Oryza sativa Japonica Group: one gene and its partner. The protein of the gene in region 2 binds, or shares a complex with, the protein of the main gene of each other region. Links are inferred from orthologs where the notes say so. Each region holds a gene or a part of one and is shown on either strand. Other genes may lie near its edges. The genes, in order: trafficking protein particle complex II-specific subunit 120 homolog and trafficking protein particle complex II-specific subunit 130 homolog.

What was found.
Region 1: trafficking protein particle complex II-specific subunit 130 homolog (region 2) and trafficking protein particle complex II-specific subunit 120 homolog share a complex: the UniProt entries of both Arabidopsis thaliana proteins name them as parts of the multisubunit TRAPP (transport protein particle) II complex. The link is inferred for Oryza sativa Japonica Group from reciprocal best matches to the Arabidopsis thaliana genes CLUB and TRS120.

Annotation. Positions count from the first base shown.
Region 1 is NC_089038.1:25,567,647-25,574,697, forward strand, and holds the end of trafficking protein particle complex II-specific subunit 120 homolog, read left to right. Parts: intron 1-160; coding exon 161-452; intron 453-1,380; coding exon 1,381-1,628; intron 1,629-1,815; coding exon 1,816-2,690; intron 2,691-3,386; coding exon 3,387-4,346; intron 4,347-4,565; coding exon 4,566-4,786; 3' UTR 4,787-4,966; downstream 4,967-7,051. Other genes in the region: 40S ribosomal protein S11, read right to left, coding at 6,846-6,939. UniProt on the Arabidopsis thaliana protein: Specific subunit of the TRAPP II complex, a highly conserved vesicle tethering complex that is required for the proper transport of proteins in post-Golgi trafficking pathways to the growing cell plate in mitotic active cells.
Region 2 is NC_089046.1:23,211,541-23,220,262, forward strand, and holds the start of trafficking protein particle complex II-specific subunit 130 homolog, read right to left. Parts: upstream 5,091-8,722; 5' UTR 4,905-5,090; coding exon 4,841-4,904; intron 4,306-4,840; coding exon 4,076-4,305; intron 3,957-4,075; coding exon 3,775-3,956; intron 3,528-3,774; coding exon 3,344-3,527; intron 3,217-3,343; coding exon 3,126-3,216; intron 2,435-3,125; coding exon 2,274-2,434; intron 1,702-2,273; coding exon 1,612-1,701; intron 1,511-1,611; coding exon 1,349-1,510; intron 127-1,348; coding exon 65-126; intron 1-64. Other genes in the region: uncharacterized protein, read right to left, coding at 6,402-7,034, 7,125-7,292, 7,483-7,601, 8,015-8,117. UniProt on the Arabidopsis thaliana protein: Specific subunit of the TRAPP II complex, a highly conserved vesicle tethering complex that is required for the proper transport of proteins in post-Golgi trafficking pathways to the growing cell plate in mitotic active cells.

The DNA of each region.
Region 1 (7,051 bases), on a different chromosome or scaffold from region 2:
AAATCCCAATATCTCCTTTGGTGCTTGAGTAGATTCTTATGCTTCTTTAGTTATAATTATTTGACTGGAAAAACTAGGGTGGAATGGGGGTCTGAGATTGTTGAAAGTATACTTTACTTAGGTTTGTTTTGTCCATTGAATTTTGCTCTTTCTTTATAAGGCGGCAATGTGCCAAGGAGGTGTCAGATTTACTAATGGGCGCTGCCGATGGTGCCAAGGCTCTGATTGATGCCAGTGATCGCTTGATACTCTATATTGAAATCGCGAGACTTTTTGGTACACTTGGTTATAAACGCAAGGCGGCCTTTTTTTCAAGACAAGTTGCGCAATTGTATCTCCAGCAGGATAATGCATATGCTGCTATGAGTGCTATGCAGGTCCTAACCACAACTACAACTGCATACCATGTTCAAAGCAGGAAGACCAGCAAAATGGATCATGGTTTGCTCAAGGTGAGATTTTGAGAGCTTGCAGCATTGAGAATTATTTCCATTATTCAGAATACTGCACCATATTCATATGTTCTCCTCAACTTCTCCAAACATGCCTCGCATTTTATCAACTTGGATACTGCTTTACTCAGTGAAATCATGCCATCATCAAAATGTGCTTTCTTTTTATGCTGGAAATTTCACGGAAATAAACTTTGCTATGCTAGTCACGAGTTAACTGCACAACATTTTGCCTTTTATTCATCTTTATATATTAGTACTCCCTCCGTCTCATTTTAAGTGCAACCATGAGTTTCCATGCCCAAATTTGATCGTCCGTCTTATTTGATTTTTTTTATAATTAGTATTTTTATTGTTATAAGATGATAAAACATGAATCGTACTTTACGCGTGACTTATGTTTTTAATTTTTTTCAAAAAATTTTGAAATAAGACTGACAATCAAAGTTGGGCACGGAAAATCATGGCTGCACTTAAAATAGGACGGAGAGAGTAGTTGCTTTCCTTTTATTTCTGTTGATGTGGTGAGCAGGGTAGAATAAATGTCGTTGACAAGAAATATAACTCAATTTAAGCATTTTAGGACGGGTATCAATGGTTAAGAAAGATACATGAACCCCAATGCAAACTGTATTAATCATGTTAGTAAACATTCCTGCTTTATTAAAGAGCATGTGAGCACTTTGCCAGCATATATTTTTTATTTTATGGTGCTCATCTTGTTATACCAGAAATGATCATTCAGATATCATTCGTTTAATCACACAAAGGACGAGCGTAATTATTATATTGACAAATTGGTGTTGAGTTTATATTTTATTTTACATATAATGATAATGACGTATATTGAATAGTTTTGCATTCATAGCTTTACTGGTTATCCTTATTTGATTCTGGCAATACTGATCCTGGAAAATTGCATCCTCAGTCTGTAGTATCACTATTTGAGTCACAATGGAGTACCCTTCAAATGGTTGTTCTAAGAGAGATACTGATGTCTTCAATCCGGGCTGCGGATCCCTTATCGTCGTGGAGTGCTGCAGCCCGGCTTCTTCGGTCATTTTACCCACTCATCACCCCAGCTGGTCAGAGTGGCTTGGCAAGCTCTCTTTCAAACTCAGCTGATAAGCTTCCATCGGGCACACGTTGTGCCGATCCATGTCTTCCTTTTATCAGGCATGTCAAATTAATGAATACTCTTATTGCTATGTTTGGGGAAACTTAAAATAGATACTGTAGGAGTCCTTTTATTTTGTTGCAAAACTGTAGGAACTACTGTTGAATCAGGAAGAAGATTTTGATCGAGCATGTTTCTTTATTTGTTTTCTGAGTTTTTATTTCTGGTGTCCTTTTTTTAACTCAGGTTGCATTCTTTCCCACTGCACCCTTCACAAAGAGAGATAGTGAAGCGCAATCCAAATAAAAAAGAGTGGTGGACTGGTGGTGGTCCTTCTGGACCTTTTATTTACACACCTTTCACCAAGGGGGGAACATCTGGAACTAGCAAACAAGAGGTAAATTGGATTGTGGGAGAGCCAGTTCAAGTTATGGTAGAGTTAGCAAATCCCTGCAGCTTTGACCTAATTGTTGAGAGCATTTATCTCTCTGTTCATTCTGGAAATTTTGATGCCTTTCCGGTTAGTGTTAATCTTCCACCAAACACTTCCAAATTGGTTCTGTTATCTGGAATTCCAACACAAGTTGGACAAGTATCAATTCCTGGGTGCATTGTTCATTGCTTCGGTGTTATCACAGAACACCTATTCAAAGAGGTCGATTGTCTACTCCTTGGAGCTGCACAAGGGCTTGTTCTTTCTGATCCTTTCAGATGCTGTGGCTCTAGCAAGTTTAAGAGCGTTAACTTTCCAAGCATTTCTGTTGTTCCTCCTCTGCCATTATTAGTTGCCAATGTTGTGGGCGGAGATGGTTCTATTCTTCTATATGAAGGTGAAATCCGTGATGTTTTGATAACACTGACAAATGCTGGAACTGTACCTGTTGAAGAAGCAAATGTTGCATTGTCAGGGAAGAACCAAGATTCTGTTATTTCGATTGCCCATAGCACATGGAAATCTGCACTTCCTATTAAACCTGGTGGAGAAGTGACATTCGCAGTGACTCTCAGAGCCTGGCATCTTAGCCCGACAGATTTGGAAGCAGATGGCAGCAGATCTCCTGCAAACTCAAGGAGGATAGCAAGAGAAGGGAGTAATCCTTTCTTGGATATTCACTATGCTGGTGGGTTCTTGGTGCAACATTCAATTTTATTAGTGCATCGAAGTCACATCAGTTTAACATATTCCCATCCATATGCATCCCTACCAACTGTTTTTATTTATCCTAGATTCAAATGTTTCAGCAAAACACAGTAGGAATTAGCTGTAAGGAATTACCATAGCAGGATAGAAACAGATAGGCAAGTACGAGTAGCTTGTTTACTACTACATCCGTTTCATATTATAGGTTGTTTTGACTTTTTTCCTAGTCAAACCTTTATGTTTGACCTACTTTATAGAAAAATATAGTAATATTTTCAACTCAAAACAAATATGTTATCAAAATATATTCAATGTTACATATAGTGAAACTTATTCGGTGTTGTAAATATTGCTATTTTTTTTATAAACTTAGTAAAACTTAAAGAAGTTAGACTAGGAAAAAAGTCAAAGCGAATTATAATATGAAATGGAGGGAGTATGTGTGTTAAAGCCCCTTGTCAGTTGTTATTTATTCTCTTCGATGATGTTTACAGTATTTCTTTCTCTGAAATGGCGATGCTCACTCTTTAGCCTGTCTTAGAAATGCATAACCAACAACCTTGGCCTTTCTAAGCATAAACAAATGAAATGTGGAGAGTATTCTTTTTTAATGATCAGTTAGGCTGTCTACAGTCTTGAGGAATGAGGACTGAATTTCGACTTTCTGCCATTACAGGTCCTTCAGGGAACTCTGAGAGCAATGATGTTTCTCTCCCACCTGGAAGACGTCTGGTTGTTCCGTTGAATATTTGTGTTGTACAGGGCATGCGACTTGTAAGAGCACGCCTGTTGTCCATGGAATTACCTGCCCGGTTTACTGATGCTCACTTAAGATCTGTCAGTAGCAAGGACAATCTAAGCAATGGCAGTGATGCGATTCGTAATGACATTAGCTTATTGAAGATTGATCCTTATAAAGGAAGCTGGGACCTCCGTCTTCTGGAACTTGAGCTGTTTAATCCTACTGATGTTGTTTTCGATGTTGATGTCTCAGTTCATCTCGATGGCACAAGTGTCGAGCAAAAAATTCTTCCAGAGGATAAAACGGCCAGTTCGGCTTGCCACAAAACTCGAATTGATCGTGACTACTCTGCTAGAGTTCTCATACCTCTTGAGCACTTCAAATTACCTGTTCTTGACACTTCCTTCTTTGTGAAGGAAAATGGAAGTGATGAACCTCTTGGATCCAGAGCTGCCACGTTAGCAGAAAAGAATGCCAAGGCGGAACTAAATGCTTCAATCAACAACTTGATTTCAAAGATAAAAGTGAAGTGGCATTCTGGGAGAAATAGCTCCGGTGAGCTGAATATTAAAGATGCTATTCAGACAGCATTACAGGCATCTATTATGGACATACTGTTGCCTGATCCGCTGACATTCAGCTTTAGACATGCCAAGGATGGAACAACAGCCAAAACTGACTCTTCGAAGGAGCCTGGTGACGGTTCCAGTCGTTCTGCTGATGAGAGTGTTCTGAGGTGTAAGGATCCTATATTTGCTAATGAAATGACCCATATGGAAGTTCAAATTCGCAATAACACTAAGGAAACTATTCGGATGAACCTAAGCATTTCATGCAAAGATGTTGCTGGAGAGAATTGCTTCGACGAAAATAGCGCAACTGTCCTCTGGGCTGGTAATTTAATGATGACATTATCTTTCCTGCTATCCTTGTCTGTTTTGACATTTTGTTTTCTGAAGGCAGCAAATGATCACGGTTAAGGAAGATCACAATATTTACATTTTGATTAGTTTTTGGCTTTCCATTGAACCAATCCGTTAGGTTACAGTTTGTCATTGCATTCTGCCCTTAATCTGTTCATCTATTTACTCACAAATGTCCTTTTTGGTGCAGGTGTTCTTAGTGACATATATCTGGAGGTTCAACCACTGCAGGAGGTAGTACATCCTTTTTCTATCTACTTCCTGGTCCCCGGAGACTACTCGCTGCAAGCTGCTTCTGTTATAATTGACGCAACCGATGTTCTTCGTGCTCGGGCAAAGGCAGAGTCGCCCGACGAACCTATACTATGCCGTGGATCTCCATTCCATATCCATGTAGTTGGTACAGCTTAGCCGGACTTTCTTGGATTTAGTCTAGAGCGTGCCCTGTATCGTGCGTGAGTTTCGTGACATGTGCAGCTGCGAAGATCATGTAGAATTTTTATGCACATCTGATTTATTTGAGCCGCATGAAGGCTTCCCTGTAACACAGTTGTGTTTTGTACAGTGTAAAAGCATAGTGAAGGTTGTTTCACAGACGCGCGAATTTGCTGGTTCTGGTTTCAGCATCTCGATGTAAATTTTTTCTGTCCTACGAAGAATTCCATACGTATGAGCTCTCATTTCTGCCATTAAGAAATGATGGGGATTTAAAAATTTCGATGCATCAATACAAGTTGAAATCCATCAACCATCGATTGTTACTTTTCATACGCATGGATAGTCATTTCTGCCGTTAAGAAATTGTTGGGGTTTTGAAATTTTGATGCATCAATACACCCATCAACCAGCGATTGTTTAATTTCTTTGCAAACAGTGACAAGGACAATAAGGCAAAGGTCAAGTTGTCAAAGAAGGCTGCATCCCTAGTCTTGTGATCAAATCTTTTATATGCTTCTTTTCAATCTTTTATGTTTCTTGGGCGGAGGTCCTCACTGGCATGCATTTGTTTGTTGCTTGAAGTACAGCCTGGCAATCGCCTTGAAGAGCAGGAGCTTCAAGGGAAGCCTTCGCCGGTGTCTGAGCTACTGAAGGTTTGTGTAGAGGCAGATAAGAATGTTTTCAAATTACTAACCTTGCATACTGCAGTCTTATGTTTTGAAATGGACATGATAAAAGTTACGAAATGCTCTGATTGTCTTGACAAACTTGAGCAGTGGCGAAGTCCTACCCCTTTTTGTCCGTGTGCAATTGCAATTTGTAGCTTGCACAAAACTTTCAATGGGTCGTGCAAGATGATGTGAACTTCTGACATTCCTTTACTTTTGTTTTCATGGTCATAAGTGTGCAGGATTTTATGCCCTCCGCAAGTTGCAAAAGGTAGTTATAGAAATAGAACGAAATGAGGCTCGACTGGAGAAAATCGCTAATGTTGCAAGGGCGGCTCTTACGAGGATGAACAATGGGGAGACACTATCTCAGGAGGAGATGAAATCGTACCTTGAAGAAATTATTCGTTTGGCTAGTATCTAAGGAACTGATCCCAGGATAGTGTAATTTTTCATCACCTCTGTAATACTCCTATGTCATACGATGCGTAATCAAACATTGCAAATTTGCAATCATATGCCCCTCCAGCTAGATATTTGGTTAACTGTTTATTTCTTCAACTCTATAAATTAGTTGTACTTATAACATGATGCATTCTGCTTTAATTCTTTAAAGTAAAATATTCTCGTCATTTGAATTCAGAGAGTACCAGCCTGTAGGACGGCTTAGCTTTGGTAGCACGGTAATCAGGCTTACCAAGCTTACGGAGCCATCGTTTCGCTTATTCGCGGAATAAATGAAACGGCATATTTGCAAACGAAAAATAAGTTGTGAATAAAACTTTTATATACGTGTTCTTGGCAGTCTAGAAGTAAAGGCTGGAAAATAAACTTCGATGAAAAAAACCTCAAAATCGACTCCAAATTTAAGGTTGAAAATTAAAATTTTGACTGATAAACATAAGCATAGCTTTTGCTTCGTGTTCGTATAATGTTTGAACTTTGAAGTGACAGAACGAAACAAACATCCTAATCGTAAGGCACTCGCATAGTATAGCGCTCGTTGTGCCGGTGCCGTTCACAATCACACACGTGCAGGCCATGTACTTCCTAGTCACGATTACTGAAATTATCTCAACCAAATTGGGGAGACGAGCTTTTTTTTTTTTTGATAGATCTTCACATCGTCAAGCATTCTACAAACTATATGTTGATTGAATGGGAAAACGATCAGTACACAGACAGACATGGGCGCAGAAACTTCTTAAGATTTTAAGCTTGACAAGTAAAGTCAAGTCAAATTCCTAGTACAGAAAGGTAAACTCTTGTCTAGTCAAGATGGTAGACACGAGAAAGACATCTAGGTGGCATCAAAATCTCATGATCAAAGCTTTCAGAACCCTGAATATCTCCTCATATACATCTTAAGCGGCTGTGAAAACCTTCTTCCCTGCACCACTCTTTGACCCTGCCGGAATGACCTTCAGCACATTGAACCTCACGGTCTTTGACAGTGGCCTGATATTAAACAGATAGTTGAGTAATTTGTGGATTTCTGGGATGAAGCACACAAAATAACTGTACTTTACTTGGCTAAGATTAGAAAATTCATGCTCAAACATTCAGGTTT
Region 2 (8,722 bases):
AATTGGTAATTGACCAATAGGAAAGTTGAATTTAGTATATCTAATAGAGGAGCTGGATTAGTACCTGTTGACTGGACTTTTTTCTATCTCAACTCCATAACCAATCAAATAAGCAAGCCTCAGAAACTGCAATATCCATCAAGAGTATCATATAAACAAACAGTTTTCTGTACAGTACAAAACTGAGAGAAATGTAATTCACAAAGCAACGAAAAAGGGCTTGATTGATGGCACACAAGAAATTCATTGTAATAAAAAAACTAACACATATTGTTAAGAGTACAAAAGAAAGAAGAGAAAGAACAGACACAGTTTCCATTTGAATTAAAAATATTGAGTAAATTGCACTATAGGTCACTAAACATAATTGGGTGGTTCAAGTGGGTCATTCCCTGGAGATACACCCCTCAACTTGATTCCGTGAATACACGGGATCAATTCATGACAACATGGCTAGGCAACTCCGAAAATGATTCATCAGGACTAAATTACTTAATACAGTAATAGAAACTAATGTGAAGATAAGGATGTAACTAGTAAATGATTTGAAACTACAAATAAACAACAACATTACTTATTAACAGAAAATATAAATGGTTTATGACAAATGTATATAAATCATCAAACAATAGAAACTTGTGTGAAGACAGGTAACTTCCAAAATGATTTACAACTAAAAATGAAAGCACGGCTAGTGTGAAATGATTAAAAATATAGCAACAGAAACTGGTCTTGACCAAGTACAAAATTAAGTTCTTTTTTTAAAGATTTTTTACAAACTAACTCTTGCATAATACTATTTCCCACTACTGTTCCACTTTTTTTGTACTTAATTTACAATATTAAATAGGAACAAGTAGAAACATTAGATTTAAGCAATTAAACTTAGGCTGTGTTCGGGAGGAGGGGTCCTCCCCGGCACGTAAAACGAAGCACCTATTATTGTATGATTAATTAAGTATTTGCTAATTTTTTTTTCAAAAATGGATTAATATGATTTTTTTAAGCAACTTTCGTATAGAATTTTTTTGCAAAAAATGTACCGTTTAGTAGTTTGAAAAGCGTGCGTGCAGAAAACGAGGGAGGGAGGTTGGGAAAGGGAGGTAAAAAACGCAGCCTTACTAGATACTTCTACAAATCACAATGCATCAATGCTAAAACAAATAAGCCTCATTAAGTACAGAATTCTAGACAACATTCATTAAATCCTAGCAACAAGCTACCAGATAATGGCCAATATTCATACTTCTTCAATAACTCATGGGAAAATGTAAATTCGTAAATAGAATAAAAATACGATATATAGCAGGGAAATCAATATTAAATTACCAGAAGTATCAGAACTTACCTTAATACGGCACAGAGAATAGAGGTCACCCTGAATACGACAGAACTCCCTCTCTGAGTCGATAGCAACAGCTGTACCATCATAGTGTGAGGTTGTTGCTTTTATTAAATCCATACATGCAGTTATCACCCATACTTCACGAAAACAAAATGGTAGACCATTCTGAAAGCACATTCAGAATTACTTGAGTACACTTCACACAATATAGTCTTTCTAGAACATAAACTTTGCTTGTAGAGGAATAAAACAGAGAATGTACATACCTCCTGCAAGGCTAGCGTCTTGGAAAAGCTAACCACAAAAGCATATCCTCTTGCAGCAACCTCAATTGGGCGATGCAATTTAAACAATAACTGCAAAATGGTGAAATGGAAAAAGTATAAAGGCAATATATAAGGTTCAGTTGAACTAGCTCTAAAACAGAACAAAGTTCTGGCACTGGATGTCTAGTTTTATGTAACATGTTCCACTTGAGTAAAACAGTGTGCATGTTTGTATTGAGCAATAAAGAGCACCGCTACGCCATTAAACAGTAGCACTCTAGGCATATGTGAGTTGCAAATTGCAATTGTATGTGAGAATGACATGTGGGGCCTGGACACACATGTCAATGACACATACAATGGTATTCTCTAACTGTGACATTGCCAACTCATCTTAACTACTTTAAAAGAGCAGTCGTTGTCCTTCCTCCTCTAAAAAAATGCTCCCTCTCTTTATAAAAAAACCACCCTTAAAAAAAATCTAATGATCCCGTTGCAACGTACGGGCATGTAACTGGTAATAAAAAAAGAACCAAGCAGTACAGCAATGAAGAACAGATTGCAATGAAGTAAGAATGAAAAAAAATATTACTGACTTGACAAAAAAAATCATAGGAAAAAATAGCATTCAGTTACTCATTTTTTTACGACATGTCTTATACCTTAGCCTGGCAAGCAAATATGTATTGTCTAAACTCAAATTCTCTGAACACATCATCCTGGACAATTTGGGTCAATGCTTTAAATCCTGGATTTAGCAGCGCCGCTTGATCATCACCAGTATCCAATCCTCCAAATTCTCGATGTTTTCCAGGAGAATTAACTGCATTCATGTGAACAGAATGTTATGAATACTAATAACAAACCATGCTGTAAGACAATATTCCTTACATTTTATTTTAGATATCTCTATAATATATACTAACTTACGCAGCAAAGTGATAAGTTTTACACCACAGTTAGATCCTTAAGACAGAAGAAAAGAATGAGATATAGTCAATGATGATGAAATGGTAGTTTCGAAGCATGATAAGTACTAAAAAATTCGTAAATAAACAGTTATTCTCCAGAAAGAACAAGGAAAACTTGGAAATTAGATTTACAATTTTACATGTTTATGGTTGGAAGCAATATTAATGTTTTATAATGTCATCTGACTGATCTGGTATCAGAAGCACAGCTTTTAAAACCTCTATCTAATACTATAAAATCTATCCATGAAAAAAAACATTTCTAACCTAAGATTTCAATAAAAATCTATATTTTCTATGAGAAGTGAATGACATATTGTGCAACGATAAAAACATAGCTTAGTCCAAAGACTCCAAATAAGCATGAATAGATGTACGGAGTTACTGCAAATTCATGAAAAACTTCATCACTCTTGAAAAAAATCTTATACCGCGACCTTTATATTGATTAGGGCAGAAAAGCTTTTGGATATATGCAAATGTACTAGATGCAAAGCTCAAAAATGAATGCAACATAACTGCTACATCGAAGTTAGAGAAAACCTGATTCTGAGTAGCATAGTTCAAGCTCGTCGTATTCACGGAGTGAATCTTCATGAAGATTAGTCATCTCAAACATGAAAGCCAAGCTTTCCTAAACAAATAAATGATATCAATTACAAGAAAGCCACATGAAACAAAGGTATGTTTGTTCATAAAACCAGTGCTACTAAAAATATAATTTCAACTGACAAGCATCAAACGTGGTTGCATTGTTATACCTTAAGAATAAAAAAGTTGCAGAAGTTCCATATCGGAGTGAATCTCTGCTCACTTAACCTGCGAATTTCCTCTTCATAAAATTGAACCCGCCTATCCAATGTGTTTCTAATGCAGTCCACCATTTTGGAGTCAAAATCATCCCAGAATTCCGCATCAGGTCCATGGAGATCAAATTTACAGCATCTGCATCATAAAAGGCCATACTTTTTAAACCTGTTAATAACTCGATACTATTTGTAGTGAAGTTTAACTTAAGGTCCCAAAAAAAGTTCCTTGGGAATTTGGAGGTTGAGCATCCATATAGGAACAACATAAGTGCAAGATGACCGCAAATAGCATGTTGAACTGAATCAACCAAAACATTTACATTTTTCAAAGTCAAAGATATGAATATTACCAATACTGTTATGCAGAATTGGCAAACAAATACCTTTCTCTTTTTTTAGTGTTGAAATCGCTCTCAAGCCTAGCATATACTCTCTTTGCCATCTTAGATGCTTGGTCATTGCTAGGATGGGCCTTAGACACAAATACAATGAACCATTCCCTCTCATCATTTTGCACAATCAATTTGAGGCGAGGCTTAAGAATGGTCTTGAACTCATCAAGATCCTGGAGATTTCAATAGAGAGAAATGAATGCAAAAAGTCATCCACATGGTCCGTTTGAGAAGTGATATTATTACTTGAGAAGAATTAGAAAGAGCAGCATGCATGAGGACACGAAAGTACCTCGCAACTGACAAGAACAACAGTTGCATATGGTTCCCGGAACCAAAACAAGTATTGATCTTGTGGAAATCGACTACGTAGCCTCGAATCAGTGGTCTGTATAAACTCAGCTGGTAGGTTTTCCACAAAAACAGGATTCCTCGCCTTGTTATTGAGGCAGGCCTTCTTCACTGGTAAGCGTTGCTCGAAACTTTCTTTCACATTGAGCCACAAGTCACTCACATCTTCAACTGTTACAAAACGCAAATTACCATGTATAAGAAGAAGTCCACACAGATAAACAAACTTGAAATTCATTTCCACCAGCATGTGCAGCAAAGAAGTAAAACAATTAATGTTCAAACCCATTTTCAATGTAATTCTCCAAACTGTACGCCCTAAAAGGAAAATCTTCCAACATAGCTAGAAATGTGCTAGCAAGTTGAGCTGCAGTGAGTGAATGAGGGTAGTTATACTTGGGAGAATCCTACACGGGTTGTTTCATGCCGATGTGATGCACTGCATCACGCTTCCAGAATCAGATCATGGAACCACCAAACCCCCCGCATCTTCCATTGCTGCTCGTGAGCTCAATCACTATGAAATTTTACACAAACGCAAACATGCAAACTACCTGCACTGCGAATCTAACTAAACTAGACCCACTATTCCAGCTCGAATCGCCGCGGCCCCGAGATCACGCGGGCCGAGCCAGCCGCGCGGCTTGACGGATCAGATCCCGGGGCCATTTCTAGGGTTCAGGGAGGAGGAGGAGGAGACCCGTACCGGCGACGACGATGCGGTCGCAGGAGGACTTGATGGTCTGGAACTGCGCGAGGTAGTTCGCCATCGCCACCGCGCCCGCCCTTCACCTCACGCAGCCTCCGCTCCGTCCCCTACTGCTCCATGCGGCGTCCCACTCGCCCCGCCGCCGCCGCCGGTGAGGGGTTCGCCGGAGAGAGGCGGCGCGCGGGGGGGGGGGGGGGGAAGAGATCGCGAGATGCGGAGGAGTGGAAGAGTTCGGTGGAGACGAGACGAAGGCTGTGGCCGTAAAGCGGGTCGGGGTAAACGGGTCGGAGAGGCTGACGTGTGGGGCCCACGTGTCAGTCTCCCACGGGAGGCTTTAGATGAGTGGTGATATCTGCTGGCCCTGCTGAGTTCGCGACCTCGCTCGGGCCGAATTCACGCGCTTCTCTGGGCCTAATTGACGCGCAACTTTGGGCCAAATTCTCTGGCCGATTCGGGGCCACTTGCGAACCGGATTTGTTCTACGGATGGGCTGGGTTTAAGGGCAGTGACGGGCTGAATTTACCCACACTTGGTACGTATTTTTGGGCCAAGTTTAAGCATACTTTGGGCTGAATTTGCGCGGTGGTTAGGCCAAATTTGTGCGGATTTTGGGCTGAAATAACGTGCAGGTTCCGGCATTGCGGGCTGGATTTGTACTCGTATTTGGGCCAAATTTAAAGCCTATTTTGGGGGCAAAATTTACTAAGGCCTAATTACGGGCAAATTTGGGCCGAAACTGCACTCATGGGCCTACCTTACACGCAGTTTTTGCCGAATTTATTTGCACTTGAGGGCCAAATTTACCCGTATTTGTGGACCGAATTTACGAGATGTTATGATGCAAACTTATTACTTGTAGTCCTATATTCAATATGCCAAAAATTTTGCCCCAACAGACGAAGTTATATTAACAGCTCTGTGCCATTTAACACTTTATTCCCCAAAAGTGGTCAAATCAATAACCAAAGATGTTTAGTGCATTTACGAATAATCAAATGCAGCGACATGAACTAAATGTCTCATGGTGCATCACAAAGCTCAGATATGAAAAGATCAAGAAGACAGTCTGAATGACCGAAACTGTGTAACTCGCATGACATAAGAAAGGTATGATCTAATGCAGAATTGCAGATGACAGTTTAAAAAGAAGAAGAAAAATATGACACAGCCCCAGATTGAATTTAACATACATCCTTGAAATAAAATTAAAGTTAGTACGCATATGCATTTCAGAGAGATGTCATGGATTAGCCTATCTCCTTGGAGATTAATATTCACAGCTAAAAACAAACAAATTGCTTCTGAATTACAGAAACCATCACGAGGTTCAGCTCTTTAGCCCTTCCTGTGATGGCCGCTGTCAAAAGGAAATGACAGCGAATCATCATAACACAATCTATCAGGAGTTTACAGCCTCCTGGATGCTAACCACAAACCATGAAAACAATCATCAGAACTATGGTACAGCTACTAGCAATCTGAAAACCATGCTGCCTTTTTTCTTTTCCATAATCTGTACAACAATAACAACAACAATTATTCTGTACACCAGCCAATGCTACAATGATCCCAATCTGTGGTCGTCATCGATGCCGTCCTCCTCCTCGGCGACGAGCTTGTCGATCAACAGCTCCATTGTCCTGATGTACTTGGGCATGTAATGCTCCCTTATCATGGATCTCGCCAAGCGAATCTTGCTGTAAAGATGTCGAGGTGTCTCATACAAGGCAACGACCTCCTCACCTTGTTCACTTGTACTGTTTGGCTCTGATGATGATGGCAATCCAACCATGTGCATTATTCTTCCTGGAGGGTAGAGCTGGGGGGGATCTTGACTTTGGCTCGACGATGACGGCTCGTGTGGGTTGTCGGTCAAGGTTTCTAGAAGCTCCACGGCCTGATCTTCGTCTGTTTCATTGAGAGCTGGCTCATTCTCCCCTCTGTCGGTATCATCGTCATTATCTGATTCTTGAAGGTCAAGTTCTTCCATGGAAATTGAGACTAGTTGTGCCGTTTCGATGTCAGTTTTCTCAGCTTTGACATTGACATCAGTTTGATTTGTGATGTCATGAGTTCCATGTTTTGCAGAGTCAATGGAATGCTTATGTGCAGCAACACATGACCAGCAAGCTATTGCATGGCGTTTCTTCACCACAGCATCTGAATTTGACGAAGGCTTCACCTGATCAGCCTGCCAAATAATCATGAATCAACTATTTAGGTGACAAGTATGATTAGCTTGTTCGAAGAACTGGTGTTTGCAACAATCTAGCTGCCATACCTCAGAGCTGTTGGGCACCAGCATGTCAACATCTACAACCTTGGATCTTGGATCAGAGACGAATGGCACGTGCGATCGGATGAAGCTCACAGAGCGATTGACAAAGCCCAAGAATCTGGTCTGCTGAATTTGCTCACGAAGGTCATGTACCCAGGATGATGCCATGACCTGTCATCAATGACCGCGACGGTAAATATGTTGCAATGATTATCTTTTACTAGCTTCCAAGAACTGTTTGCAGGGAAGAATTTTATAAATGATATGCTCTAAAGAACTGCATCTGCGATACAGTTCTTGGTTCCCGTTTTGATCGTCATACTTAGGAATCTGCTCATGAATTCAGGTAGCTGAGAGGTACCTCTGTACGGAGCTTGGCAGCAGAAACTTTGCCAAAAGATGGAACTAGGTCATTTCTGTTGACAATGGTTGTGATGAAGTCTTTACCCGACTCAGCCAAGTCCCATGTCATGCAAGCAGCTGAACAGAAATAGTAGGACAGGGAGCATTACTATCTCACATCAAGTATTTCTACATCATAATTTTGTAGAATCAAAAGAAGAACATGGAGTTATTCTACTTATTCTACAGATGTATATGTACATCGCGATCGATTGGACATGTAATCTTTGTCCAAAAAAAATTGAATATGTAAAAATCATAAGATCCTTCAAACATTTGTTCATTGCTGAATAGTTAAAGCTAGAATTTTTTTATAACAATTAATTAATAGCTTTTAAATTGTAGGCGTGCAAATGCCATTCCATGAGACTATATTGGTGTGTAAGGTGCTAATATGGCCTTTTAGTGAAATATATTTTCTTATGTTAAGAATGCAATTCCAAGGTCCGTGAACAATGGTAAACTAGTTGCTTGTGCTCCATGATGCATACCTGGTCCAAATGCAAGACATGTGGATGATGATAACTTCTCATTCTCACGCAGAATGTATGCTAATATTGCAGCGATGCCAGCACCCATTGAATGCCCAATGATCTAAAATATATAACAACAGAAATGCTGTGATTTGAGTAAGCAAACAAAAATGATCAGATGTAGTGCACAGTGTTCATCATCTTGTACCACGAGAAAACTTGATTACAATGAATGCAACTACATTGAGATTGTTAAAAAAAGGCTACATAGGTTTGTGTAGACTGCACACTTTCTCTAAATAAAGTATAATGGTCGTTTGGATAATAAATAAATACACGATGTATGCCAATAAGCAAAATACGCAATAACAGTTTTACTAGTTTGTGAAACAAAATTCGTAGTTATTAGTCTAAATTGTTGAGCTTCTAAGTGCTGTTTCCACTTTGTCCCTTTGTGCTAGACTACTAGGCACAACTTTTAGCTTACTTTTGGACTAACTATGCTCGCTTCTGAATTGTCTTTCTCAGCACTAGAGAATCCTAGGAAGTCCATAAAATATGCATAGTAAGAGTACTTGAAAGTCTTTCTCACTTTGACTTCAAGGTAAGGAATAATATCTTGTTTCTAATTGGTTAAAACTCCATGTTTCCCATCCACTTGCTTTCTTGCACATGTTTTGGAAAATTTTGGCGTAACTTGGATAGGAAAACATCTCCCTTGAACCA